Linked DNA regions of Cricetulus griseus. The protein of the gene in region 4 binds, or shares a complex with, the protein of the main gene of each other region. Links are inferred from orthologs where the notes say so. Each region holds a gene or a part of one and is shown on either strand. Other genes may lie near its edges. The genes, in order: Uxt, Asdurf, Pfdn2, Pfdn6, Wdr92, Pdrg1 and Polr2e.

Evidence for each region.
Region 1: Pfdn6 (region 4) and Uxt share a complex: the UniProt entries of both Homo sapiens proteins name them as parts of the PAQosome complex. The link is inferred for Cricetulus griseus from reciprocal best matches to the Homo sapiens genes PFDN6 and UXT.
Region 2: Pfdn6 (region 4) and Asdurf share a complex: the UniProt entries of both Homo sapiens proteins name them as parts of the PAQosome complex. The link is inferred for Cricetulus griseus from reciprocal best matches to the Homo sapiens genes PFDN6 and ASDURF.
Region 3: Pfdn6 (region 4) and Pfdn2 share a complex: the UniProt entries of both Homo sapiens proteins name them as parts of the PAQosome complex. The link is inferred for Cricetulus griseus from reciprocal best matches to the Homo sapiens genes PFDN6 and PFDN2.
Region 5: Pfdn6 (region 4) and Wdr92 share a complex: the UniProt entries of both Homo sapiens proteins name them as parts of the PAQosome complex. The link is inferred for Cricetulus griseus from reciprocal best matches to the Homo sapiens genes PFDN6 and DNAAF10.
Region 6: Pfdn6 (region 4) and Pdrg1 share a complex: the UniProt entries of both Homo sapiens proteins name them as parts of the PAQosome complex. The link is inferred for Cricetulus griseus from reciprocal best matches to the Homo sapiens genes PFDN6 and PDRG1.
Region 7: Pfdn6 (region 4) and Polr2e share a complex: the UniProt entries of both Homo sapiens proteins name them as parts of the PAQosome complex. The link is inferred for Cricetulus griseus from reciprocal best matches to the Homo sapiens genes PFDN6 and POLR2E.

What each region holds. Positions count from the first base shown.
Region 1 is NC_048604.1:125,813,291-125,817,583, reverse strand, and holds the start of Uxt (protein UXT), read left to right. Parts: upstream 1-1,493; 5' UTR 1,494-1,587; exon of another isoform or gene 1,588-1,764; 5' UTR 1,765-1,774; coding exon 1,775-1,872; intron 1,873-3,644; coding exon 3,645-3,726; intron 3,727-3,864; coding exon 3,865-3,932; intron 3,933-4,200; coding exon 4,201-4,293. UniProt on the Homo sapiens protein: Involved in gene transcription regulation. Acts in concert with the corepressor URI1 to regulate androgen receptor AR-mediated transcription. Together with URI1, associates with chromatin to the NKX3-1 promoter region.
Region 2 is NC_048595.1:402,525,087-402,529,311, forward strand, and holds the start of Asdurf (ASNSD1 upstream open reading frame protein), read left to right. Parts: upstream 1-1,425; 5' UTR 1,426-1,533; coding exon 1,534-1,623; intron 1,624-3,245; coding exon 3,246-3,299; intron 3,300-4,225.
Region 3 is NC_048598.1:21,541,739-21,544,695, reverse strand, and holds the end of Pfdn2 (prefoldin subunit 2), read left to right. Parts: intron 1-701; coding exon 702-790; intron 791-892; coding exon 893-1,016; intron 1,017-2,127; coding exon 2,128-2,304; 3' UTR 2,305-2,457; downstream 2,458-2,957. Other genes in the region: Klhdc9 (kelch domain-containing protein 9), read right to left, coding at 2,921-2,957. UniProt on the Homo sapiens protein: Binds specifically to cytosolic chaperonin (c-CPN) and transfers target proteins to it. Binds to nascent polypeptide chain and promotes folding in an environment in which there are many competing pathways for nonnative proteins.
Region 4 is NW_023276806.1:232,074,549-232,077,720, forward strand, and holds Pfdn6 (prefoldin subunit 6), read left to right. Parts: upstream 1-1,167; 5' UTR 1,168-1,477; coding exon 1,478-1,541; intron 1,542-1,786; coding exon 1,787-1,857; intron 1,858-1,940; coding exon 1,941-2,065; intron 2,066-2,465; coding exon 2,466-2,589; 3' UTR 2,590-2,672; downstream 2,673-3,172. Other genes in the region: Wdr46 (WD repeat-containing protein 46), read right to left, coding at 1-57, 194-274, 365-574, 708-776. UniProt on the Homo sapiens protein: Binds specifically to cytosolic chaperonin (c-CPN) and transfers target proteins to it. Binds to nascent polypeptide chain and promotes folding in an environment in which there are many competing pathways for nonnative proteins.
Region 5 is NW_023276807.1:89,068,134-89,072,294, forward strand, and holds the start of Wdr92 (WD repeat-containing protein 92), read right to left. Parts: upstream 2,801-4,161; 5' UTR 2,677-2,800; coding exon 2,494-2,676; intron 1-2,493. Other genes in the region: RNA-binding protein PNO1, read left to right, coding at 3,123-3,326, 3,452-3,601. UniProt on the Homo sapiens protein: Key assembly factor specifically required for the stability of axonemal dynein heavy chains in cytoplasm.
Region 6 is NC_048599.1:26,995,208-26,999,340, reverse strand, and holds the start of Pdrg1 (p53 and DNA damage-regulated protein 1), read right to left. Parts: upstream 2,801-4,133; 5' UTR 2,711-2,800; coding exon 2,624-2,710; intron 1,194-2,623; coding exon 1,118-1,193; intron 137-1,117; coding exon 62-136; intron 1-61. UniProt on the Homo sapiens protein: May play a role in chaperone-mediated protein folding.
Region 7 is NC_048598.1:100,836,432-100,840,492, reverse strand, and holds the start of Polr2e (DNA-directed RNA polymerases I, II, and III subunit RPABC1), read left to right. Parts: upstream 1-1,261; 5' UTR 1,262-1,363; coding exon 1,364-1,420; intron 1,421-3,034; coding exon 3,035-3,233; intron 3,234-4,061. UniProt on the Homo sapiens protein: DNA-dependent RNA polymerase catalyzes the transcription of DNA into RNA using the four ribonucleoside triphosphates as substrates.

The DNA.
Region 1 (4,293 bases), on a different chromosome or scaffold from region 4:
GAAATGCATTCTAGATAGAGGTAAGTGTTCTAGGACCTTCAAAAGGGAAAAACATTTAGGGGAGTCTAGCATCTAGGTTATCCTCCAGGCTCAGCCCTTCACTTGCTAAACATTTAAATAAAAATAGAGAGAATTATTCACTCTTAACTACAAGTTAGCCCATCTTCAGTAGAGGACTCCAATGATGGACCATATAACTATGATGTGGGGTGATTAAGCACAGCATTTTGCCAGTCTCTGCCTAAGTCTGGATCATGGAATGCAAGCAACCAAGCAGAAGTCATCCAAGAACTTCTTAAAATTTGTGTCTGTTTAAATATTTTTTATGTGCTCCTGCCCATTCCTTTTACGGAGGATGAAACCCAAAACCATGTGTGTGAAATATACGTGTATGTTTTGGGGTTTTTTGTTTTGGTTTGGTTTGGTTTGGTTTGGTTTGGTTTTGGTTTTTCGAGACAGGGTTTCTCTGTGTAGCTTTGGAGCCTATCCTGGCACTGGCTCTGGAGACCAGGCTGGCCTCGAACTCACAGAGATCCGCCTGCCTCTGCCTCCCAAGTGCTGGGATTTAAGGCGTGCACCACCAACGCCCGGCGTATGTGTTTATAAAATAAGCAATATTCAAATTTACCAATTGCCACAGGATATACTGCCCTCTTTATAGATTAGTACCATAATCCTTACTAGTCTATAGGCAATCTTGTGCTTTTTAAATTATCAAATGCTTATGTGAACTCAGTGAGGTTTGTTTGTTTGTTTGTTTTGCTAAAGAGGACTTGAAGGTGGAAGGGAAATGAGGTAGGAGGGGTCTGGGTGGAGTTGGAAGGAGGGAGTAGGGAGTGGATATGGCAAAAATACATTGCATACATGTTATGAAATTCTCAAAGAATAGAAATGATTTTAAAAGAAAAAAAAAAAGGTGGGGACTACATAGATGGATCTATGGTTAACAGCACTGGCTATTCTTGTAGACGCCCCAGGTTCGATTCCCAATGCTCACAAATATTCAGTAGCTCCAGCTCCAGGGGATCCGACGCCCTCTTTTAGCCTCCACGGGAACTGCACGTACATAGTGCACACGCATGCAGACAAAAAAGATAAAATAAGAAAAAAAAAACAATTAAGACCGGCGAGAAGGCTACAGAAATGGTTCGGCATTTAAGAGCACAAAAGGTTCTTGCAGGGGATGTGAACTCCGTTACTACCACCCACATCATGGGAGCTCACAACTGCATTTAACTCCAGTACCGCTGCCGCGCTCGCTCAAACATGCGCGCGCGATTCAAACAAGCTGTAAACGATTTACTCCCTCTCCCTACCTTCCTGTGCGTCCAACCTCCCTCAGAACCCGGCAAAGCTCATTAGACTTCACCCGAAACAGCTACCCGCGGCTGTCAACCACTAGCCGGCTAGCAGACAGCCCGCCCTCTGACTTCCTAGTATTCTCCAGGGTTTCCTTAAGATCCCGCCTCAGCGCTCCACTTTCAGGCGGTCTCCTCTCATTCTGGACCGCCCCTCCATGCTGGAAACACGTCATCCACCCGCGCCACCCGGAAACCGCGGTTCATTCTAACCTTAGGTGGCCCTAAGGTAAGCACGGCGCTTGGGTACCGGTGAGTGACTGCGTGTTAGAGTCGGGTTGGGCAGAAGGAGGAACCCCGTAGCATGAGCCGAAAGAAGTCATACCCAACGTTAAGAGGTTGGAGAGAACTTTGTGAAGTTAAACAGGAGCACTCAACGTGGTTTTTCTCCCTCCTCACTCCCCAGGAAGCCTATCATGGCGACACCCCCGAAACGGCGGGCCTTGGATACTGTAGGAGAGAAAGTGCTGCGGTACGAGGCCTTTATCAGTGACGTACTGCAGCGAGACTTGCAGTGAGTGACAACGCAGATTCTAGGCGTGACATTTGAGAAATTCCACGTGGTGGGTGGGACAGAATCCCGGGAAAACTTTCGGATTGGCCGGGAAGAGGGGTTGACGTCCGGGCTGCGATTTGGTTGGAACTTGGCCCTTGTAGTGGAGCCTCTGGCGTCGTTCGTCGGATTAAAATAGTCATAAAAACCCACGACATTTCTGACTGGGCCATTTAGCCATTACTTATGAAAAAGTTGTACATCACCTCTCCTCTCTGTGCTTTATAAACTTTGCTCATCTGTGGAATGGGAAAGTTTATGGAGCCTTCTTAATGTGGTGGTTTTGAGTTTTAAATGTGTCTACCCAGGTAAAGAATGTAACCCAAAGCCTAGACTGATAACACAGGACTGTAATTCCAGCACGAAGGAGGCAGAAGCAAGAGGATCTTCGAAGTTGGAGACCAGCCTGGAATATAAACTTGACTGTCTCTAAAAGGGGGAAAAAATTAGAATGAAGCCAGGCTCAGGCTCTGTGGTGCATGTCAGTAGTCCTATCTAGTGGAGAGGTGGAAAAATTCATTTCTTTAGCCAGGATGTTCAAGCCAGCCTTAACAGTAGAACATGGTTTTGATAAAATAAAGCCCAGTGTTGTGACACAGGCTTGTAATCCCTGTACTTGGGATGGGTGAATCAGGACGATCCAGAGCTCAAGATCATCCTCAGCTATATTTCAAAGATGAGTACAGCCTAGGCTCTGAGACTGTGTCTCAAAAAAAGAAGACAATGGAGCCAGCAAGATGGATTGCCTTGCTTCCATGTCCTGAGCTAGCTCTCTGGGATCCACATAGTGAAAACAAAAAAACTCCCAAAAGCTGTCCTATGACTCACATGGGTGTACCACGGCACCCATACATGTACACAAAATAAATACATTAAGTAAGAATACTTTTTAAAACTTTACATAAACCCAACTATACTACAGTTGTATTAAGGCTGAGAGGAAAGAACTGTCTTGTGTACTCACAAGTAGCCTGGGAAACTCAGTTCTTGTCTCAGAAAATAAAAAACAAATAACCTGGATAGTTTTGAAAAGGAATTTAGCTCCGGTGGATGAAACATACTAAAAACTCAATAATTAGATGATTAGTATTGCTGTCATTATTAATGTGAACAGAAAGTTTGGAACTAGAGCAGTGTGAGCATGGAAGGTATGTGTAGGGTGAAGATGGAGCATTTTAATTGGCATAAGGCACTGAGTACAATGCAGTATTTGTAATAGTGATGGATAGAAAGGATACAGTGTTTACCATTTGGCTGGCATTTTATAGTAAACACTTGAGTCTAATGGTTCCTATGAGGTAATACTGTCATCTCTATTTTATATGTTGTGAAACTAAGTCCCAAATAGGTTTCCTAATGCCAAAGTCACATTGCTAGTAAGAGTTAGAGCTCAGGATGAAATACAGTCTGACTTGTATTTATTGAAATACTTGGTGTGTCTTTCTCTGTCTATACTATGCGCTCGCTCGCTCTCATGTCTCCGTGTGTGTGTGTGTGTGTGTGTGTGTGTGTGTGTGTGTGTGTGTGTGTGTGTGTGTGTGTGTAACACAGGATCTCACTATGTAACCCAGGCTGGTCTTGAACTCATAATCTTCCTGCCTCAGTCTTTCAATTACTGGGATTACACTCGTGAACTACCATAATTGGCTTAAAATGCCTTTTAGGCCATGATGTGAGATATCTCAAGAGGAATAGGGCTGCCTAATGATCACTCTTCTATTTCCACGTATCAGAAAGGTGCTGGATCATCGAGACAAGGTATATGAGCAGCTGTCTGTATACCTTCAACTGAGAAATGTAATTGAGCGACTCCAGGTAAAGGCTTTTAAATTGGGTATCAGTTTGTATATGTGTACAAAGAAGGAAGATGGGAAGAGAAACCCCAAAACAAAACCTTTTTCCTGCCTTAAAAATTGGCCACTGACACCTACTTCTTTTCTCCTGGCCCTACAGGAAACTAAGCACTCGGAGTTATATATGCAGGTGGATTTGGGCTGTAACTTCTTCGTTGACACAATGGTGTGAGTGTATTCCCTCCCCTCCGAGTTTCTTCCTTCTTTCATGCAACAAGTATTTCTTAATATGTTCTATATACCAGACTCTGGTCACTTTTATATTGCACTAGGATGTAAGCTACATGCTGTGGGTGTGAAGTGAATGAACATGAAATACCGGCCCTTACAGAGCCTTAACTTTAGGGAACTGGAGGGAATAGGAAACACCTTCAACTATACAATGTGCTAAATGGTAATAAAGACTTCCTCCACTTCCTCTGACTTCTTTCCTCAGCCCAGATACTTCCCGCATCTATGTGGCCTTGGGATATGGTTTTTTCCTGGAGTTGACACTGGCTGAAGCTCTCAAGTTCATTGACCGAAAGAG
Region 2 (4,225 bases), on a different chromosome or scaffold from region 4:
GCCGTCTGACTGGACTCAGCATCTGCCCGGGATCCCTTGCCCTCTGGGGCCAGAGTACCGCAGCGTCCATGCTTCAAGTGTGGTCAGAAAGGACACTGGGCCCGGGGTTGCCCGAACCCCCATGCACCAAGCAAGCCATGTCCTAGATGCCAGGAAGTAGGCCATTGGTCAGTGGTCTGTCCCCGTGTCCCAGGTGACAAGAGGACATCAAACACAGACGGCCTTCCAGTTGATCTCTTAGCCCTGGCTATGGATGAGGACTATGAATGACAGGGCCCAGGCTCTCTTGACCCGACCACCATCATCTCTGAAAGGGAGCCCCGGGTGGACATTAAAGTATCAGGGCGGTTTATCTCTTTCCTTTTGGACACTGGTGCCACATACTCAGTCCTAAAGGAGTTTTGGGGACCCACCTCTCTGTCTCGTCTTCCTATTGTCAGGGTAGGAGGACAGCCTTACTTACCTCAGCAGACTCCACCGCTTAGCTGTATTTTTAGGGGGATTCCCCTTACTCATTCATTTTTGGTTATACCGACTTGTCCTGTGCCTTTACTAGGGAGGGACCTTCTAGCTAAGGTAGGAGCTTCTATTTCTTTTGCTCCCCACATTCGCCCAACTCCAGACTCGCCAGCGGCTCCCCTCCTCCTCCTCCTAGCTACTCACCCTACAGGTTCCAGTACGTCATTTCCTTTACCAGCCTCTCAGGTAGACCCCAAGGTCTACCAGAACCCTTCTGTGGCTAGACACCATCCCCCCTTGTCATTCAGTTACAGGACCCCTCTAGGTACGTTGCTCAAGTTCAGTACCCACTCCCACTCCAGAGCCTTAAGGGACTTAAACCTATTATCTCTGACCTCCTAAGGAAAAAGCTACTTCGTCCTACCTCCTCCCCCTTTAACACCCCTATACTGGCAGTAAAAAAACCTAATGGGACTTTTTGTCTGGTTCAGGACCTCCGTAACTCTATGGTAGTGCCCCTCCATCCTGTGGTTCCTAACCCTTACACACTCCTCTCTACTATCCCCCCGACATCTCACTTCTCAGTTTTAGACCTTAAGGATGCCTTTTTCTCTATACCCCTCCACACCTGGTCTCAAAATATCTTTGCTTTCACCTGGACTGATCCAGATACTCATGTCTCCACTCAGCTCACCTGAACCTTTTAATAATAATAATAATAATAATAATTATTATTATTATTATTATTATTATTATTATTATTATTATTATTATACATCGGATCCGCTAGGGGACGACACAGAGCCTTCATAAACTCCGCAACCAGGCAATTGTGCCTTTAGTTCAAACCAGTTTGCGCATGCCCATAACTATGTCTAGTCTCCCACCCATACTCCCCCAACCGCCCTCTACTGCGCAGGGGTGAGTGTGCGTACTCCATTGGTCGGGATGCCGGAAGGGGCGGGTCCACTGAGAGCTCGCACGCCGGATCAGGGCTTCCTGTCCTCGGTTCCGTCCCGGCGGCTCACCGGCGTGCATCCCCGTGGGCTCACCGGCGTGCGACCCGGCGTGGAGATGCCCCGAAGTGGGGTACGAGCAGACTATCGCGCCGCGCCGGTGCCCCCCTACAAGTCGGATGCACGCACGGAGGCCCTTAACAGCAAGGTGCGGTGGGTGGCCGGGGAGCGCCTTCCGGCTGGGGTTCCCGGCGGCGCCCGGCAGCCCGGCGGCGTGCTCCTCGCTTCCGTAGTCGGTTCTTGGCACCCGCCTCAGGCTGCCCCTCCTTCCTGCAGACTTGCAGAGAGGGAGGCACAGAAGCTTGTCCCCCAAAAAGGGGGGGGGGGAGAGACACTGGCGGAGGTTTGGTGGGGCTGTCCCCTTACCGTCCCCCTTCCCTTCACGCGGATCTGTTGCTCTGTGGATCTGCTTCACCCTGTTAGCTACGCACCCGCCTGGGGGCCATCCTTGACATCCATCCCGAAAGTTTAGAAATCTGCCAGTGTCCTTCCAGACGCTGTCACTGGCTGTTCTGACTCAGGGTGTCCCCAGCTGCCTGTGTCCTCCACTGTGATCCTAAAATACATTTATCTGATGGTCTCTAAGTAGGACTCTTGCAAGTTAATCTTTGTCTGCCTCCCTCCCCTTTTCTCTTCCTTCCTTCCTTCCTTTCTTCCTTCCTTCCTTCCTTCCTTCCTTCCTTCCTTCCTTCCTTCCTTCCTCCCTCTCTCCCTCCCTCCCTTTCTTCCTTCCTTTCTTCCTTCCTGAGCTTTCGTGTCTCTCAGGCCAGGCGCAAACACTGTTGTTTGAGAGGGGAGCATGACCTTATTCTCTTGCCTGACAGCCATGATTTCAGGGTTGCACCACCTTGCTGAACTATACCATTAATCTTAACTTCCAATTACAGACAGTCTTTAAACATGTATAGTGGAGAGTATTAAACGTTTTAAATTCTACATTTTTTTTTTTCTGTCCCAAGTGACATCTTGGGTTAGTGACCTTATTCCCACTGTATCACAGTTTTCTTTGGTGTCAGCTAAAGTGAGATGTCTACCTGTCTTTCCTAAAATGAACATAAAACACCATACAAGCAGACTTGAGTCTCAAGGAAGATGAACTCGTGTGGCTTTGTAGTTCATCACTATAACTCTCACCTCTGCCATCGTGGAGACATAAGGATGCATACTCACTAGGGCGGGTGTGAGTTTTAAAAAAGACCTTGCTTCTTATTACTGTGTGTGATGGTGTGTGGTTACTTAAATTAGTTATTGCCTAGTTAGGCATTCATTTGATGGTCACAAACAAGCCTAGCTTAATGATAACAGCAGTATGCAGTCTTTGCCATGCAAACAGAATGATGCAAAGATGAAAAATGATGCTGTATCTCCCCAGGTAGGGCATCCAATACTATTTATCTGAATGTCTGGCTATCATCTAGTACATACATGAAAAGTAATTGTTGTTGGGGAAGGGGAGAAACACATTCATTTTCTTTTTTTAAAAAGTGTACAACAAAACTTTATAAAACTAATTAAAGGGTGGGTATTGATTTTGGTGAACAGTGGCTCACTTTGGTTAAGGTATAAGCCATGTGGTAACTGGCAGCTGGCAAGTCTAAGTCAGCTTTTCCTTCTCCAGCTGTTTTCCACGGAGTCCAGCTGGGTGTTGTTGCCCTGTAGAGTGTCCATTTAGACAGGTGGTATGTGACAGCCCCCAGTCCCATTATTCAGAATTTCCTCACCAAACATACTTTGAAAACGTCTACTTTAGGTTTTTCTTTATTTTAATAGATTAAAGAACAAAAAATTCTTGTGGATGAACTTTCTAACCTGAAGAAGAATCGGGTAAGTTACTGTTGGAATCCGGAATAGTATACAGTATATTAAAATCAGGAATTAGATCATTTATGCTAAAATTACAAAATTCTAACATACTAATTTAAAACTAAAGTATCCTAGTTTGTTTTTCATGTTTTTCTGCATGTATCAGTAAATCTCAAAGTTGACAGGATTCTTTCCCTATTACATTTTTAACAAAAAAAGAAACAATTACTTCCTTTTCCACAGCAAACTTTAATGCTCCAAGAACTTAACCTATTTAATTCCTTTTTTATGACATGTTCATAAATAAACTGCTGTCTCATGTGTAGTTTTACTGTTAAAAAAATATATCTTAAATGAAGAAATGATTTTGTTCTCTTTCAAGCATTTTAAAATGACTGACATTTTCAACATTTCTGATATTGTCATTTATGAAATATTAGAACTAAGGCAAATTAATACAAAACTTCTGGAGACCAGATTGGCAGAATGTATAAACGCTGTATGAGACTTGACCTGGAGCTTCTTTTAGAGTAACTGATGAATAAACAAACAGTCGTGAAAACACATGGGCATTTAACTGCAGTGGCAATCTGTAATAATCATGAATTGGCATTCTATCAAATGTCTGAAGTTTGACAGCAGCAAAGAACTATAGTATTGTGCCCGTGTGGTAATATAAAGAACCTTCATTGATCAGAAAAGGTCTCCATGTTGTTTTATAAGAGTAAATTATAACCCTGTGGCTGTGGTAGCCTTTGTCACTGACAGTAACATGACATAATGGCACATACTATGCAAACAGCCCTTTCTAGGTGGCAAGTATCGAGTGGCTTTGTATCTGTTTATATTTGATAAATTGCTGTTTTGAATATTACTGAAGCTCAAAAATAAGTGATAATAGGATTGTTGAGCATCACTATGCAAATCATGTCCTGATGTTGTAAATT
Region 3 (2,957 bases), on a different chromosome or scaffold from region 4:
CCCTTCTTTCCAGAGTTCAGTTCCCAGTGCCCACACCCAGAAGCTCACGGCTACCTGTAACTGTAAGCCGGGCGGTGGTGGCACATGCCTTTAGTCCCAGCACTCAGGAGGCAGAGGCAGGCAGATCTCTGTGAATGAGACCAGCCTGGTGTACAAGAGCTAGTTCCAGGACAGTCTCCAAAGCCACAGAGAAACCCTGTCTCAAAAACAAAAACTAAACAAAAGGCAAAGATTGAGAAGATGATGGTTTGGTGCTTGAGTACATAGGGTTCTAGAGGACCCAGGTTTGATTTTCAGCACCCATATCAGGCCTGCAACTCCAGTGCCGCAGAATCCAACCCCCTCTCTTGGTCTCTGTGTGCACAAACACACACATATCCATAGAGTTAAAAATAAAAACCTCTGGGGGGGTGGAAACTGGCAAGAAGGCTCAGGGTTAAAAGAACTTGGCTCTTGAATAGGACACAGGTTCAGTTTCCAACACCCACGTGGTGGCTTACAACCATCTGTAACTCCAGTTTCAGGGGACCCGATGCCCTCTTCTGGCCTATGGGCACACACAGTACACGTACATATAGACTTGCAGGCATAACACTCATAAACATAGAATAAATGAATACATGGGGGGAATAAAAAATCTACCTTGCCATTCTGGCATTTTCACTGTCTCATCTCTCATCTTTTCTCTCTCATGCTCCTAGGTAATTGCTGGCTTTAATCGCCTTCGGCAGGAACAGAGGGGCTTGGCATCCAAAGCTGCTGAGCTAGAGATGGAATTGAATGAACACAGGTAAGACAGTCAGAGAAACAATAGAACAATTGGATGGACCTTTTTGAGGGAGGGTTGCAGTAGAGTGGTGCTGAATTTTGGGGTCTTGTTCTCCTACCCTAGCCTAGTGATTGATACCCTGAAGGAAGTGGATGAGACCCGCAGGTGCTACCGGATGGTTGGCGGCGTGCTGGTAGAGCGGACTGTCAAAGAGGTGCTGCCTGCCTTGGAAGGCAACAAAGAGCAGGTGAGCAAGGATTCCCCAGGAGGAGTTTGGGCAACCAAGAGGTTAAACGGGGGTGACCAGAGATTTAGGGAATGTGAGGGAGGAAAGTCCGGGCAGAAATTCATGTTGAAGATAGTCTACAGTCTGTTAGTCTGTGCACTTTATACGTTTACAGAGTCCCAACTCCTTCCATGAGGAGCTGTTGGCTGTGTGCCCTTTCCATAGTCTCTTTGATGTGGTTGAGCTGGGAGGAGGGTGGGTAGAGCAGTGTTTCTCACAGTGTAGTCCATGGATACCTGAACCAAAATCACCTGAAGAACTAGTTTTAACAGTGCTGCAGATCAAATCCAGGGCCTTATGAATAATGAAAGGTCTAAGAACTCTGCCACTGAGGTACACCTCCAGTCAAGAATCAGTTTAAAATGCAACTTCATAGGCTCTCTTTGGATAACTGAACCAGGCCTTTAAAGATACCATGAGTGACATTTTAAAAGGAGAAAGAGTACTGACTGGGTGGCATACATTGGTGATTAACTTGCTATGATGAGTCAGGGGAATCTTGGGTTTGAAGCCAGCCCCAGCTAGCTATAAATCAGTGCTTAAAAAAAAAAAAAATGTGACCTAAGAGAAGAAACCATAGTATGATGAATGATATTTTAAAAATAAGCAGCTCACCCTCCCTGGGGAGCTGTTGAAATTAAAGGTTGCTGGAGGGGAGGGGGGTCATTGTGTTCGGTGATACAGCCCCTGGTAAGTTGCTCATCCTCGGGTAGATAGCTCCAGCAGACCCATGCCCACAAGGATGGTCCTGGTTAAACACAGTGGGTCACAAAACAAGACAGAGATATGATTATGAGATGGGGGACTCACGGTAGAGGTGGACGAAACAGTGGTTAGAATATATTATATACATTTATGAAATTGTCGAAGAATAAATAACATAAGTAGCTCAGATGATTCCCTTGTATAAGACACTATGTTTGAGAAATCACATAAGAGTCTGGGCTTTCTTGATTCTTGGCTAAAGGTGAGATTGGTATTATCTTGTTTCACTTCCTCTAATCATAGTCCATTCCAGGTCAGGGAAGGGAGACGTGCAATCCTTCTATAACCTCTTTTCCTTACCTTCTAGATACAGAAGATCATCGAGACACTGTCACAGCAGCTTCAGGCAAAGGGGAAAGAACTCAATGAATTTCGGGAAAAGCACAACATTCGTCTTATGGGGGAAGATGAGAAGCCAGCAGCCAAGGAAAACTCAGAAGGGGCTGGGGCGAAGTCCAGCTCAGCAGGAGTGCTGGTCTCTTAGGAACTAAAGCCTCTGAATTTTTTTTTTTTTAACCCTGATTCCCACTTCTAATTTCTTTTTATTGTTGTTATTATTATTATTATTATTATTTTCTCTGCTATTGTGCTATTGTAATATTTTTTTGTTAATTAAATGTTTTGGTCAGAATGCTTAGCAGTAGCCTGAAACTTTCTCTCATTTAGGGCCGGCCACATTGAGGGCAAAAGATAGCATACAGCTGGGCATGGCGGCACCCATGCCCTAATTTTAGTGCTTGGAATACAACAGGAGGCAGATCTGAGTTCCAGGCCAGCCTGGTCTACATAATGAGTCCCAGGCCATCCAAGGCTACATATAGTGAGTCCATGTTTCAAATAAAACAAAAAATAATATATGATTTGCAGGTTTTGTTTCTGCCAGGTCAATGGCTCCCAGTATCAGAAATGCTTATACTTTGGCCTTTCCCTTGCAAGTAAAGGTGTCTACTTATTAAGTGCCCTCCTAAAAAGGATTCAGAGACAAAATGTTGATTCTCAGATTGGAATTTAATAAGTATTTGAAGTGGGGCAGGAGCTCTGACGAGAACGCTGTGTGGGTTTGCCGAAACAGGCTTGGCCATGTGCCTTTCTGACGTTCTTTAGACGAAGAGTTCCAGGATGCAAACCTGTGGGCTA
Region 4 (3,172 bases):
CTCCTGCGCTTCAGCCGTCTCAAGTTTGCTCCGGGTTTTCGGCTTCGAATGCGGGAGCTACGGCATGGTTGCCAAGGTTGGCGCACCGAGCGAGCATCCGTGAGGTGCCAGCAAGGCCGCCAGCAGACAAGGCGCCACCCACCTCCTCACCCAGCCTCCAGTCCCTGCCTCCCCACGGTCCCCGCGGCCTCACGGTTCTGGACTTGTCAATTCGGCAGAACTTCCGGGCGCCCTCCACGGGGGCGGGGGCGGGTCCCGGGAACGGGTCCTGGGCCTAGCGAGGGGAAGGAGACGGGCAGACTCGATGGGCCCGGTTCCTCTGGTCCTCAGAGGCGCGGGGCCACCCTGTCAGCCCCAGGCTCACCCCAGACAGGGTCCGCTGCGGCCTCCTCTTCGGGTCTGGGGCGTCCTTCGGGGCCCGCGGCTTCTGGCGGAGCCGAGACTTCTTGGCGGGGTGCGCGCTCTTTGACCTCGGGGGTCGCGGCTCCCGAGTCCTCGCCTTCTTCCGGGGCGGCCCCGGAGAGGCGCCGGCTGCGGCGGGGGTGGCCTCCTCCTCCCAGTACCGCCGCGGCTTCTAGGGGCACAGGAGGAGGCAAGGGCTCGCACCCGCCGGACCCGGAGCCCGAGCCCGATCGGAAGCCCCGAGCCCGAGCCCGATCGGAAGCCCCGAGCCCGAGGGCGGCGTTCGCCTCCACCCAAGCCGCTACCTTCCTCTTGGCCTGGGGCTTGTCCTCCTTGGGTGGGCCACCCCTGCCCGGCTTCGGAGCTGTCTCCATCGCGGCTGTGACCGACGCCAAACAACGATCCACGTGCGAAACTGCCCTCGGCAGCCCCACGGCCCTCTCAGAAACTTCCGGGCGTCCCACGGCCTTCACCCAATCACCGCCGGACGGGAGTCTGAAGCCGCCGGCGCCATCTTGAGTGAGGGCACGCCTGTGCCAGACTGAGCGGAGAGGCTCGCCCGAGGACCAAATGAGGACTAAAAGGCAAGTCTGGGCCCCGAATCCCGGTAGCGACGAGTTCCTTTTTTTCTGCCTTGCCTAATAAAACCCCTCGGGTGCAGTCTTTTCGGTAGGACGAGTTTCCCACAGGTCAGAACGCAGCTTCCGGCGCCGTCTCTGTCCCGGCATGCCTTGTCTACTTCCGGGTGCGTTTAGACAGTGGGCATAACGTGAGGAGGTTGGGGGTCTGGCTTGCGGGAGGGTTTGGGGTTCTGCTTTCGCCCCCCGCTTCCCAGGGGTGTCTCCTGGACGAGGAAGAGCTGCGGAGCCTCGAGGAGCTGCCGGCGGACGCGCAGGGCAGAGAGGGGGGCGCGGGTGCCTTCCTCTGCTCGCTCGAGTCCCCGCGAGCGCCCCGCCCCGCCCCGGAGGCTCGCCCTCCTCACACCGCCCCGGAGGCTCGCCCTCCTCACACCGCCCCGGAGGCTCGCCCTCCTCACCGCCCCGGAGGCTCGCCCTCCTCACCGCCCCGCCCCGCCATGGCCGAGCTGATCCAGAAGAAGCTGCAGGGAGAAGTGGAGAAATACCAGCAGCTGCAGAAGGGTAAGAGAGAGAGCGGAGGCGGCGTGGCCTTGCCCCGTCCGCCCTCAGCTCAGGCACACCCCACGAGACGTCGTGCTCCCTCGGGGGCCCTGCGGGCCGCCCCTGGCGTCGGGGGCCCTGCTCGTCCCCACCACCGACCGACCCAGCCTCTCCGCTGCAGACCCGGTGACGTCTCGAGCCCGTGCTGGGTGCGGTTCTCGGCCCGTCTGATGCCTTTAACCATGCGTTTCCTCTCACCACCTCAGACTTGAGCAAATCCATGTCAGGGAGGCAGAAGCTCGAGGCACAGCTAACAGAAAATAACATCGTGAAGGAGGTGAGGACCTGGGGCGCCGGGGCCGAGAGGAACGCGGCCGGGCACGGTTAGCTCATCAGCCGTCCGTCCCATCCCCTCTCCAGGAACTGGCCTTGCTGGATGGATCCAACGTGGTCTTCAAGCTCCTGGGGCCCGTGCTTGTCAAACAGGAGCTAGGGGAGGCTCGGGCCACGGTGGGGAAGAGGCTGGACTACATCACCGCCGAAATGTGAGTGCCTACCCCGTGCTGGGTAGCTCCCCATAGCGCCCCGCTCCCCTGGAACTCCCTGTGTAGACCAGGCTGGCCTCAGGGATGGGCTTAAAGGCGCCCCCGCTTAAGCCTTTCTTCCACGTTACACGAGTGTGGGGGGTGGGGGGACATGTGTCCGTGGCACACATGTGAAGTCAGAGGACGGCCTGCGGCAGCCTGCTCCTTCCTACCACGTGGGTTCTGGAGACTGAAGTGTCAGCCTCGGAGGAGAACGGTCCAACCCACTGATCCATCTCACCAGCCCTCAGTGTGCCACCCCCATCCCCCAAACCTCGGAATTCCCATCAGTCCCCCAATGCCGCGCAACAGTGAGCCCCCACTGATCTCTCTTCTGCTTGTCTCCCCTTTCCCTCCTCAGTAAGCGCTACGAATCGCAGCTGCGGGACCTTGAGAGGCAGTCAGAGCAACAGAGGGAAACCCTTGCTCAGCTGCAGCAGGAGTTCCAGCGAGCCCAGGCAGCAAAGGCTCCTGGGAAGGCCTGACCCCATGGAAGGGGGAGAGGAGGGAGGGCTGAGTCAGCTCCAGGGTCTACACTAGAATAGCCAATAAAATGTAAACAAAACCAGTGCCTTGTACACACTCTTTTTCCCTGAGATAGAGCTCTTGACACTGGAATCTCTGGCCGTGTTTCAGTGGTGGTTTTCCTGGTGCTGAGAACTAAAATCCGGGTCTTCTTGCCTATGTGCCTTCTTTTGAGTCTGAAATGTCTCAAGCTGTTTCTTGCCTGTTCATATAACCCTTTATCTTCCCTTATGTTGGCTGGTGCAACCCTGAGATGGGAAATATAACCTTAGGATGCAATGTAGTGTGTTGTTAAGTGTCAGTTTAGCCATAGAACCCAGTTCTCTAGCCTGAGAGCCCAGGATATGATGTGGTCACCCAAGAGCACTTGTCCCCAAAGGGCCCTAGATCATTAGCTTGTCTTCACCGCTGTCTTAGCATTGGTTTGAATCTAACTTGTTTGTTTTGGTTTGTTTGAGACAGGGTTTCTCTGTGTAGCTCTGGCTATCGTAGATCTCGCTCGCTCTGTAGACTAGGCTGGCCTCAAATTCAGAGATCCTCCTG
Region 5 (4,161 bases), on a different chromosome or scaffold from region 4:
AATCCACTGGGTCCAACAGTTCTCAGCTCTGGCACTCACAAAACTCAACCAGCAGAAGTTCACATTGCTAGGGGTTGGAACAAGACATGGATATTTTAAAACTTACATAGCTGTCACTAGCAACCAAATATGGACACAGGAGAGCCACAGTCCATGCATTTAACCTGCATGTTTTTCTGCTGCACCCAAATACAATATTAAGTTCTGAAAGGCACCTTGTTTCTAAGGTTTTGCTTGCTTTTTAGAAGGAACTGTTCAAATACCTGTGGTTCTGTTTTGATACAGCACCTCTATAGGAGCCTCAGTAACTCATGGAATGAAGAGCATCCAAAACAGTAGTTGTTACTCCTGGGGTTCAGATCATGTGTGATACTCTCTTTTTTAGCCCTACCTATATTTTCTAAATGTTCTCTTATAAATACTTATTACTTTTATTTAAAGAAAATACAATATAATCTTGCTAGAATTCTTCAGAAATTAGAAGAGGAGAACACTATTTCATTTGGAATAACCATTACTGAAATGTATACATGTATCATAATTTGGGGCTGGAGAGAGAGCTCAGTGGTTAAGAGCACAGACTGTTCTTCCAAAGGATCCAGGTTTAATCCCCAGCACCCACATGGCAGCTCACAACTGTCTGTAATTCCAGTTCCAGGGAACCCAACAACCATGGCAAAACATCAATGGGCATAATAAATAACCTGCAAAATTTTTTTTAAAATGTATCATAATTCTTGGGAAAACAAAACACAGTCTCTAGATGCTTCTGGCTGAGTACTGACTGGCATTTGCTCCTAACATTCCACTTCAAAGTTTCTGTTATGCCAATGTTTCCCATGTCCAGAGTCCTTAACCTACACCAGTATTTAAAACTCCCAAGTTCATTCATTTCCGATTCTTTTAATAACTGTGCATTGAGTGGCTGGTCCTTACAAATCACTAGGAGACATTGTCCTTGTTGTCCAACTTAGAATCAACAGATCAGACAGTTTGCTTATTTCTGGCACAAAAGGAAAGTATTATAGGAGTGCAGATCAGAGACTCTGAGCTGGCCGCTGGAACAGCAACAGGTGTCTGTGAGTTAAGTGATGAACACAAGCAAGGGAGAAAAGACCAAGCCATGTTTAGATTCTCCAAGCTGAATACCTGGCTAGAGTAGGAACTAAACTTGAAAACGGGCTGTCAGCAAAGCTCAGTGAGAGATGGCACTTCACATATCTTCTCATGAAAGTTTATTTATCCGTTACCTGCCCTAAACTCACCTCCTTCAAGCCAACTATTTGCATACTTACCAACCCTCAACATCTCATGAGACTTGTCATTTGTTTTAAGTCAATCCAAATTAAAAATTTTTTAAAACTATAAAACTGTTAGCCAAAGCTCAGCAACATAGCAAATGGCCTGTAATCCCAGACCACTGTTGGGGGCTGGCATGAGATTTGTGAATTTGAGGCCGACTGGATAACACAGAGAATACTCATCTCAAAAAGAAAGAAAATGAAATGTTAATTATTTTCATCCTTTTGTAATTGGCTCACTGGCAGCCTTTTACAAAACCTGTAAATCTGGTCTTGTACCATCCTCCTAAAAGTCCTTCAGTCTTGTCCTGTTTTTCTTAGAGGAAAAGGGAGACTAAATCTGTTAAATGTCTTAGAGCCCTTGCAACGGTCCCTACTTACCCCTCTTGTGTGTGTATGATCTTTCTTAGTGGGTTTTGTGATTGTTCAGACAGGGTCTCAAACAGAAATTCTCCAGCTTCTACCTCCCGGGAGTGCTGGGATCAAAGGTGTGCACCACCACTTCCAGTGTGTGTTTTTGGTTTTTTAAAAAGATAATAAACTACTTCCTACCACTATCAAAGAGCTTTCCCATAACCTATTTCTTCTGGAAATCTCATGATCTACTCTGACTTTCCCTAGTTTCTGCTCACCCTAAATTTGTTGTTTTTACTCTTGCTCAACTGTCTATTAGAAAAAGCATTTCGGTTTACATGTATGCGTTCTTGTTTTGGCTGTTTAACTATCTCCCCAACAGTAAATAAACTCCATAAGATCCGTGACATTGCCCTTCACATGCCTGGGACTACCAGGCATTCAAGTGATAGTTCTAGAAAGGATGGGGTACTTAGTTGTCGCCACAAACTTCGTAGGTGTCCCGGTGCCTCCTTCACTCTGCTTGCATGTATTGCATATATGTACTAGCAGACTACAATTGCAAATAGCCTAAAAGGTCCTCGAACGTAAACATGAAATCTCAACTTCACTTCCCAGAAACCTTGCAACGGACTGCACCAAGGATGGCGGGACAAGGGGCTGGCAGTGAGCCAAGGTACTAGTTCCCCAGTGAGATTGTGGGATGCCAAAGTTTTAAGTCCGAAGTATTTCTCAGTCTATAACCTCCTTTCTGGCCCTGTTGGAGCAAAGCTGTGGCAAAGAGTGATGCAGACCCCAGAACACGCGCGCCCTAACAGAAGTCCGATGCTGCACCCACCTCCCGCAGCAGTTTCAGGTCCCCACGCTGGATCTCGTACACCTGGATAACGCCGGTGCCCCGAGCGAAGTTGCCCATCGTTACGAACTTGGCACTGCAGGGCACCCATTTGCAGTCGAACACCGTGTAGTTGAGGCCTTTTTGAATGTGGACAATGATCTGAGGCTTCTCAAACGCGGACATGGTGCAGATGCAGACAAACGCTAACCTGGAAACCAGACTGCAAACATCGCAGGGGCGGTTTGTCCCTCCCTAGCCGCACTCTAGCCGGACGCTCTAGCAAGTTGGGCTTGGGTGCCTATGATAATGCCGTATGAGCTGCCGAGGCCGCACCGGATATTTCTCCACACACGGCACAAACTGACTTACTGCCCTTACCACGACGTTTACACATAGACACATTAGAGGCTGAGAATGCTTCGGCTGCGAGCGCGTGGCGGTATGGCGACACAAGCAATCAGGCATACCGTAAGGCAGCCATTCAGACACGCGGACCAATCCCGCCTGAGGCCCCCGACTTGGGCCCCACCTCAGAAAAGGGCGGTGCCCTCACGTTGATTGGCGGAGGCTTGCGCGTGTGCAGTATTACCACGCGCGTGTTCAGCCGGTTGTGCCCACTTGGTTCGAGCATGGCCGAGATGGAAACGCAGAACACCGGGGCGGAGGACGGCTTTACTCCCGTCACACACAGAGGGGGCCGGCGGGCGAAGAAGCGACAGGCGGAGCAGCTGTCAGCGGCGGGACAGGACGGAGACGCCAGCCGCATGGACACGGAGGAGGCCCTGCCGGCGAAGAGGCCGATCTTCCCTCCGCTCTCGGGCGAGCGGCTCCTGGTGGGGACCGAGGCGGGACGGGGTGGGGCCGGGCGTCCGGATGAAGGATCCCTTCTGGTTTGAAGTCTCAGCCGGCAAGTCTCCAGCCACCTCCTGAATATGTGTGTGTGTGTGCTTTGTTGCAGACTGGGAAAGAAGAGACGAGAAAAATCCCGGTCCCCGCGAACAGATACACGCCATTAAAAGAAAACTGGATGAAGATATTTACTCCGATAGTAGAACATTTGGGACTTCAGATACGCTTTAACCTGAAGTCAAGGAATGTGGAAATCAGGGTAAGCAGAAGGGTAGTCATTTCTCAGCCTACCGAGTTTTCTCCTTCAGAACTGAAAATAAAATGAATGCATTTTCCTGCATAGAGCTTATGCTAGGAAGTGGTTTTCTTCATGGTTATAGTATTCAACACAGGCGTTGGCTGCACTGCTAAATTTGGCTCTGAGATCACACCAGTATATAGTTTATCCTGTGACTGTCTTCTGTAATGCGTGTTGAATTGATGAGAGGTGGGAAGTGTTACATGGATGTACATTAATAGGTGGTAATTGCAGGTACCAATCACAGTATAAGTACTGTAAATTTTAGTGATACTCTTTTTGGAGGAAATATGTGTTACTAATGTATTTTTCTCTCATTAAATCACTTCTTTCTTTAGTATATCGCCTGTGCCAAATTAGTTTTCCCAGGTCACAGTGCTTCTTCTGTTTTGATATTCTATCATCCTCAGCATTTCAAAGGCATAAAAGACAGATGCGTGATTGAGCCTGCCTTTTGAGTAGGAGACCGAGTCGTGATTGTTTCTCCCCATTTTCCCCCTGCTGGTACTTTTGGTGGCTTT
Region 6 (4,133 bases), on a different chromosome or scaffold from region 4:
AATTCTGGATAATGACTGGTAGGGAAGTGACCATGTCCTTGAACATTCCAGGAGACCTTACCTTTCTGGATCATTTCCTTTGTCTTAGGGTGAGGCATTTTGATGAACATGTTCCCAAAGCAAACCATCACATCTTCTGAAATAGCAAACAGACATTACTTCAACACGTTTTATTTCTTCTTTTTGAAGCACTGACTATCTGCCAAGCACTGTTTGGATGCTAAGAACATAGCCCAACAAGACAAGTTCTTGCCCTTGTGGAATTCATAACAAAGCAAAAGACAGTAAATAAACAAGTTGTTTTTCCACATAGTGCTAAGTGATGGGAAGCATCAGGAGAGGTACAAGGGCTCTTTGCAGATGTGACATCCAGGCAGAGAACTGAGGAAAGGGGGGGGTATCTTCCCTAGACACCTGGGCAGAGCCCAGGCAGAGGGATGGCAACAGCCAGAACTGGCAGTGTTTTGGTGTCAGAACAACCAAGAGACCAGTGGGTCAATGAGTGGGTGAGAAAGTGGGGGCTAACATGGTGGAGTGTGTGGGGCGGGGTCATGTGGAATCAATCCTGCAGGACAACTCTGGGTTTTACTCCGGTGAGATAAGCAGCCAGTGGAATGGACGTCAGTGCCCTTCATTATGCCCTGAATGCTGCCCATCCTTCCAGAACTGCTTCAGGTTGTCCCCCACTTGCTCACACTGCCAAAGTCACAGCCACCTGGCTCATCTAAAGAGCCCCATCTCCTCCCTCCTAGACAGTCTCAACATCCACTCATGGCCAACTCCATCTTTAGCTTTCCACAATTTTCAGTTGTATGTTTACACTGCTTTTCCTCATGTGGAACATAAGGGCAGATCTATTATTGCTTCTAAGTGCTGTGTGCCATTGATGAGTGATAAGCTAATGGCCTGTCACTGAAGTGAGCAGCTCAGATCCTGAATCACAGCATATGTCTGACCTGCAACGTTTGCCCGCTCTTCCCCACAAGCTGTTTTCGTTTCCTGTGAGGCTGAGTCACACAGTCCCAGCCTCCTGCCTGCTCTCTAGCAGGGACAACAAAGGCCTTCACAGGAGAACTGCATCAGTTTCCAGGGCTTCAGTGAGGATGTTACAACTTACCAGAGACGCTCAGGTCCTTCTGTAGGGCCCTCAGGCCCTCTCGGTTCTGATTCCTCTTGGTATCCAGGTCTACAATCTGAAAACAGAAGCAGATAGGAACTCAGCTGCCTCCCGCCCCAACCTGAAGAGACAAGGAATCCTTCCTGGCTGGAGGCCAATGTCTTGGTTAACATGGACTGAAGCATGAGCGTGTTTCTTTACCCACTCAGTTGCCAGCCCCTCGGCCTGTACAGGAGCCTCCTTCCTCCAGAGCAGGTGCTAGGAAAAAGTTTACCAATTAGGAATCATTTGCACAGCCCAATTCAAACCTGAGCATGTACCAGGGTCATCAGAGAGTTTAGTGTCTCCCCTGGGCAGTTATTGTTGACAGGCTATTGTAGGAAAATCTAACAGTCTCCCCAGACATGGACGTACACCACCATGACAGCTACTCAGGCAATGACTCTGGGGCTGGAGTCCACAGGAATCCTGCTGCTTGTGAACCACAGAGGCCTTCTCACTATAGACCACAGGAGTAACTATGGCAGCTTTTGGAGACCATTTCCAAAGTATATTTCTCACCCCATCACTAACATCTGGTCCAAATCCAGATCTGGATAACTAAATTCGTGGTTCTCAGCCTGTGGGTCTTGACCCTTGGAGTCGAACAACCCTTTCACAGGAGTCACCCAAGATCACTGCAAAACATTGCAATTCATAACAGCAGCAAAATTACAACTATGGTTCCGGGAGGTGGTGGCACATGCCTTTAATCCCAGCACTCAGGAGGCAGAGGCAGGCGGATCTCTGGTGAGTTTGAGGCCAACCTGGTTTACAAAGCTACAAAGAGAAACCCTGTCTCCCCCCCCCAAAAAAAATTACAACTATGAAGTAGCAACGAAAATTACTTTATTGGGGGGGGTACCCATAACATGAACTGTATTAAAGGGTTGCAGCATTAGAAGGTTGAGAACCACTGATCTCAATGGTTCTTTGCACACTAGTTAGCAGCTAGAGAAGACTTTTAAAACCTAAGTCCCGTGCATGCACGCCTATAATCCCAGAACTCAGGAGGGCGGACAAACACGGACTGTTCAAGGCTATCCGAGATTACACAGTGAGTTCGAGGCCAGCCCCAAGACACATGAGTCCCTCTAAAGTTTAGAGTCTAAACCAACCTATCAATCAATCAAAATCCAAAGATAACATTCTCAGCACTCAGAACTCCCTTTGGAGACTCACCACTTAATCATAGATCCAGAGCCAAGCTCCCCTTTCGGGTCTACGAGGCCCTCCAGCCTCCCCCGCCCCACTCCACGTCACCCTACCGTCCAGCCAAATGCCGCTCGGGTCTCAGCAACCTGACTCACGATGGGGGTCGGGGAAGCCGCATGCAGAGGGTAAGGTTCCGGGGGGCCCGCAGGGACAGGGTCAAAGGGAGGCTACTGCCCAGCGCAGAGGAGGCGCTCGCTCCGGAACCCCGCGCGCTTGCCTGCTTACGAAGCTAGCCGCCGCCGCGTCTCTCACCTGCCGCTTGTCCGACAGCACCGCCTCGGCCAGCTCCTCCACTTCGACCAGGTACCGCATCACCCGCTCCGCTTCAGGGGACAGCATGGCGACACACAGCTCTCAAGACACCTTCGGCACCGCTTCAACGCCCCTTCTGCTCTATCCACGCACGCGCCGCGCTGAGGACTTCCGGCGCGCCTGCGCAGTGAAAAAAAAAGGGCCCTTAGAGGGGTGGCGCATGCGCATCAGCGGGGCGCCGGAGGGGCGGGTCTAGCTTTGGGAGCGGGACAGGAGCGCCCCCTTCAGTCTCTGAGGGAGCAGCCCAGTGCGCTGCCTTCTTTGCTCTCCCTTCAAAGGGTTGTTGAGCATCCACCGTGTACCACGTTGGATGGAGCAAGGAGTAAAACATCCCGACTTTAGAAATGTCGTCCCAGTAGGAAACAACGAACACTGATGGGAAAATAGTTACATATTATGGGTGGTAGAGTTAAGAGCTTTGGAGACACAGAAATCCTAAGTCCTGTTTAACGACGCCGAGAAACCGAGTGTGGCAGGGAGACTTATATTTAACCGGTGATACTTTCAGCTTCTGGTTTGTAAATAATGGGTGATAAAAATTACCCCCCCACACACACACACACACTCTCTCTCTCTCCTGAAGATGAAAAGGAAACAGTAATCATTTTAAATCTCGTCTGGCTGCTGCGTTTGTTGAATCCAGTGTCCTCAGTAGCAAGCTGAGACCCACACAGAAGGAGCTGGAAATTGTCCAGGGTGAGCAGTGAAGTGTCAGTAAGAGTACAGTTGCAAAGCTGGGGGCTCAGAGGCGAGGCCTGGGAGTTTTTGCCTCGCCGATGCCATTTTGCTTATCTGTGTATATAACTGGAATTAACCCAGTGCCTCTCACACGCTCAGCTCTGCCACTGAGCTGTATGCCATTTGTGTGGGTGTATGTGCTGTGTGTGTGTGGGGGTGTGTGTGTGTGGTGCATGCATGTAAGTGTGGGGGCACCTGTGTCCATGCAGACACATGCAGAGGCCAGAGTAGGGTGTCAGCTGCTTTCCTGTCTTTCTCCACCTTCCTGCCTTGAAATAGAACCTCTCACTGAACCAGAAGTTCGCTTTTGGGCTAGGCTGGCTAGCCAGTGAGCTCTGTGTATGTACCCAATGCTGAGGTAACAGTCCCACACAACCGTGTCTGGATTTTTATTTATGTGGGTGCTTGGGATTCGAACCCAGGGCCTCATTCTTTCAGAGTGAACACATACTCACTGAGCCCTAAGGCCCAGATCGGATGTTCACTTTTTAGTCTCCTTTATTGACTTCTGGCGACTTAGGTCCTTAATACACTGGCTCACTTGATTTTCATGGCCTCTTTTGTATAAATAGGGTCATTACTGTTAAGTTTTATAGCTGCAGGCTTAGGCTGGGAGCAGGATAGGTCAGACACAGATCTGGGGGTGGGGGCCCTGGGCTCCACCGCACAGCTGCCTTTGGACATTCTCAAACTGGGGCTCACTGAAGCCCAG
Region 7 (4,061 bases), on a different chromosome or scaffold from region 4:
AACAATTCCTTTGGAGGCTGCCTCCTTTCAAACCACCACAGGAGGTAAGATCAGAGGAGGGACTCCTACAGACAGGCACTTGCATGTATCCTTACACTTTGGACTGACTCCCCTCAGTGGCACCAATTATTTTCCTAATGTCCCAGGTACTCAGGCTCTGCCCATTCATTACCACCGAGAATGAGAGAGTTGTCTGAAAGTAGTGGTTCAGGACTTTAATCCCGGTACTCAGGAGACAGAGGCAGTCAGATGGTCAGATCTCTGTGAGTTAGAGATCAGTGTGGTCTACAGACAAGTTCTGGGATAGCCAGAGCTACACAGTGAAACCCTGTCTCAAAACAAAACAAAACCAACCACCGAAAGAATGAGAGGGTTGTTGTCACCTGAAAGTTAATGACAAGGGCTCCTCCCCATACCAAAAACCAAAACAAACCCCACAAAAACCCCCAGGGTCTGGTCAGGAGCTCAGAGAGAGAGATTTGCCCACCAGAGTGCTGGGACCAAATGCACCCACCATTGCTCCCAGATCTAGATATGTTTTTCCAAAAACGTATTGTGTCTCTATCCCCTTACTCTGCGTTTGTGGCTTCTATAACCAGGGTGTCCCAGGCGCAGCCCAGTTTTGCAGCCCATGCAGTGGGTTCAGTGGTCAGACAGACTTGGTGGGGGCCTCGCTAGTTTGCTGGAAACTTGCCTTTCCAAGTCAGGGTCAGCACAGGTTCCCAGGCAGGAATTAGAGATGACCTGCGGACTCTGAGGACAAGCTCGGGCGGGACAGAATGGGAGGTATGGCGAGCATCTGGTTTTCCAGTGCTGGCCATGCTGGTACACGCCTTTAATTCTAGACTGAGACAACCTGGTTTATATATCAAATTTCAGGCCGGCCAGGGCTCACAGTGAACCACCCCACCCCCCAAAGAGGAAAAAGATACATAGACATTTCTTTTTGTTGTTGTTTTGTTTTTTGAGTCAGGGTTCCTCTGTATAACAGCCCTGGCGGTCCTGTCGCTCTGCACACCCGGCTGGTCTCGAACTCTCAGAGATCCGCCTGCCTCTGGCTCCCCAGGGCGGCGTTAAAGGCGTGGCCTACGCGCCCAGTTCCCTCTCGAGAACTCTTAAGCTGTGACGGCCAAGTATCGCGACATTTTCTCGATGGTGGTCTCGCGCAGCGGATCGCCGGGGCTGCCCGCTACGCAGCCTAAGGTGGAAGTCGCGTTTCCAGGCGGAAGACAGAACAGAGCTCGCTGAGCGGGAAGGGGAGGGCTTTCCGTTGTTCCGCGCAGACGCTTTGCGTGCGCAGGAGTGGGAGGAGCTCTTTTCGGCTTCGGCGCAGGCGCAGCGGTTCCCGGGCGACGGCGGCAGCATGGACGACGAGGAGGAGACCTACCGGCTGTGGAAGATCCGCAAGACCATCATGCAGGCGAGTGACCGGCCGGCCTCCAGCCCGCACCCTGCCTCGGGAGGGCTGCTGCGCGCTCACACCGCGCTTATGGGGGCCGGAGGGAGAGACTCGGGGTTCTCTGCGCGCTCACACCGCGCTTATGGGGACCGGAGGAGGGAAACTCTGGGTTCTCTGCGCGCTCACACCGCGTTTATGGGGGCCGGAGGGAGAGACTCGGGGTTCTCTGCGTGCTCACACCGTGTTTATGGGGGGCCGGAGGGAGAGACTCTGGGTTCTCTGCGTGCTCACACCGCGCTTATGGGGGCCGGAGGAGGGAAACTCGGGGTTCTCTGCGCGCTCACACCGCGCTTATGGGGGGCTGGAGGGAGAGACTCGGGGTTCTCTGCGCGCTCACATCGCGCTTATGGGGGCCGGAGGGAGAGACTCGGGGTTCTCTGCGCGCTCACACCGCGCTTATGGGGGGCTGGAGGGAGAAACTCGGGGTTCTCTGCGCGCTCACACCGCGCTTATGGGAGCCGGAGGGAGAGACTCGGGGTTCTCTGCGTGCTCACACCGTGTTTATGGGGGGCCGGAGGGAGAGACTCTGGGTTCTCTGCCTGCGGGGCAGCCCTCCACCCACTTAGCCCAGGCCCCAGCATCCACACGGCAGCTCACAACCATCTGTAACCCTGGTTTGAGCGGGTCTGACGCACTTTTCTCGACTGTTTCACACAGAGTGAAAAACAATATTTGAAAAAAACAAAAAACAGTTTTGCCCCGGCGTAGTGACAGAGAGAAGCCTTTAACGACAGCACTGGGGAGGCACAGGCAGGTGATCTCTGTAAGTTCGAAGCTAGCCTGATCTACATTAGCGAGTTCCAGGACAGTCAGGGCTTTGTAGAGAAGCCTTGTCTTAAGAAACCAAAATAAAGAAAAGGTAAAAATACTAATCTGGTAGCACATACCTTTCATCCCATCACTCTTGGGCCCGAGGCCAGTCAGTCTCTTGAGTTCAAGACCAGCCTGGCCTATTTGAAAGTTTGAAGTCACTCAGGGCTTCATTGTGAGACCCTGTCCCAAGAAACTTAGGTTGGCTGGGAAGTGGTGGTCCACACCTTTAATCCCAGCACTCAGAGGGCTGAGGCAGGCGGATCTCTGTGAGTTCAAGACCAACCTGTTCTACAGAGGGAGTTCTAGGACATCAGGGCTACACAGAGAAACCCTGTCTCTGAACAACAAAAGACAAAAAGAAGGAGACGAAGAGGGAAGAGACAGACCAGACCCCAGTTGAGAAAGAGGCCTGCATAGTTTTAATTTTTGCGTTGGGTGGACCCCAGGGCCTGGTCTCTCAGGCCTGCCCCTCAACCCGATGCTGGATTACACTCTACTCTTCCCTCATCACGCCTAAGACCAAACAGGAAGAGTGGGTGGGGGCACTGAGAGGTGGAAGTTGCCAGGGGATCTACCCTAGCCTGCCCAGTGAGGCTGGGGTGGGGTGGGGCCTGGTTGGGGACCAGACTGTGGCTTGGCCAGTACTGCTGGGTCACTTAAGTGCTCCTCCTCATGCTATCCCCGAGCAGCCCAGGCTGTTCAGGGATAGGTCTGGCACTGTAGTCCCGGAGTTCATGCTGAGTGTTCATTTCCTCTCTAAAGACAGGTGATTCTTTGTCTCTGCAGCTGTGTCATGACCGTGGCTACCTGGTGACCCAGGATGAGCTGGACCAGACACTTGAGGAGTTCAAGGCTCAGTTTGGGGACAAACCCAGTGAAGGAAGACCCAGGCGCACAGACCTGACAGTGCTGGTGGCCCACAACGATGATCCCACAGACCAGATGTTTGTGTTCTTCCCAGGTGAGGCCCCTTGGACCAGTAACAGAGGCCTGATTCTGGGGTCCCATAATTCTGGTGGCATTCCCCAGTCCCTGGCTCAGGTGCCAGTTAAGGTAACATGTCACAGCCCTCCCTCTGTGGTCTTCCTGCTCTCTGTCCAGCCAGTGAGGGTGGGTACCACCCAGGCCCAGCCTTGCCTGCAGGACTACTGTAGTCGCCAGCCTGCTTTTGTCCCTGCCTCCCCTGGAAACCTTCCCTTGTTTGGTTGGTGTCCATTCTCTGCCCCTTGAGTCCCAGCACCAGCTCTTGGGCCCTCTGGCTCCCATCTGCTGTGTTGTGTAGTTTCTGCCTTACAGCCCAGGCACTTCTGAAAGTGGGAGGGGTGCTATTAAAGAGCCTGAGCCCTTCTTGTGCAGCTGCCTCCTGGTCTCCCCAGACAGTCTGTTGCCTTCAATACCTTTGAGGTCCTGGGGCCTGTGAGAATTAGGGGTGCAGGGATAGGCGTGGCATCATATGCCCATAACCCCAGAACCTGGCAGACACAGACGAGGCAGGTGGTCAAGAACAGCCTGGTCTATACAGTGAGTGCTAGGACAGCTATGTAGAGCAGTGGTTCTCAACCTTCCTAATGCTGTGACCCTTTATAAAAACAGTTCCTCACGTTGTGGTGACCCCCAACCCTAACATTCCTATCTGTAATTTTGCTGTTTGGAGTCATAATGTAAATACTCATGTTTTCCTATGGTCTCAAAGGGTCAGGACCAATGGGTTGAGAACACTGATGCAAGAAGTCCCTGTCTCAAAAAGAAAAAATATACTGGGAGTGTTGAGTCTGAGATCCAGCAGTTT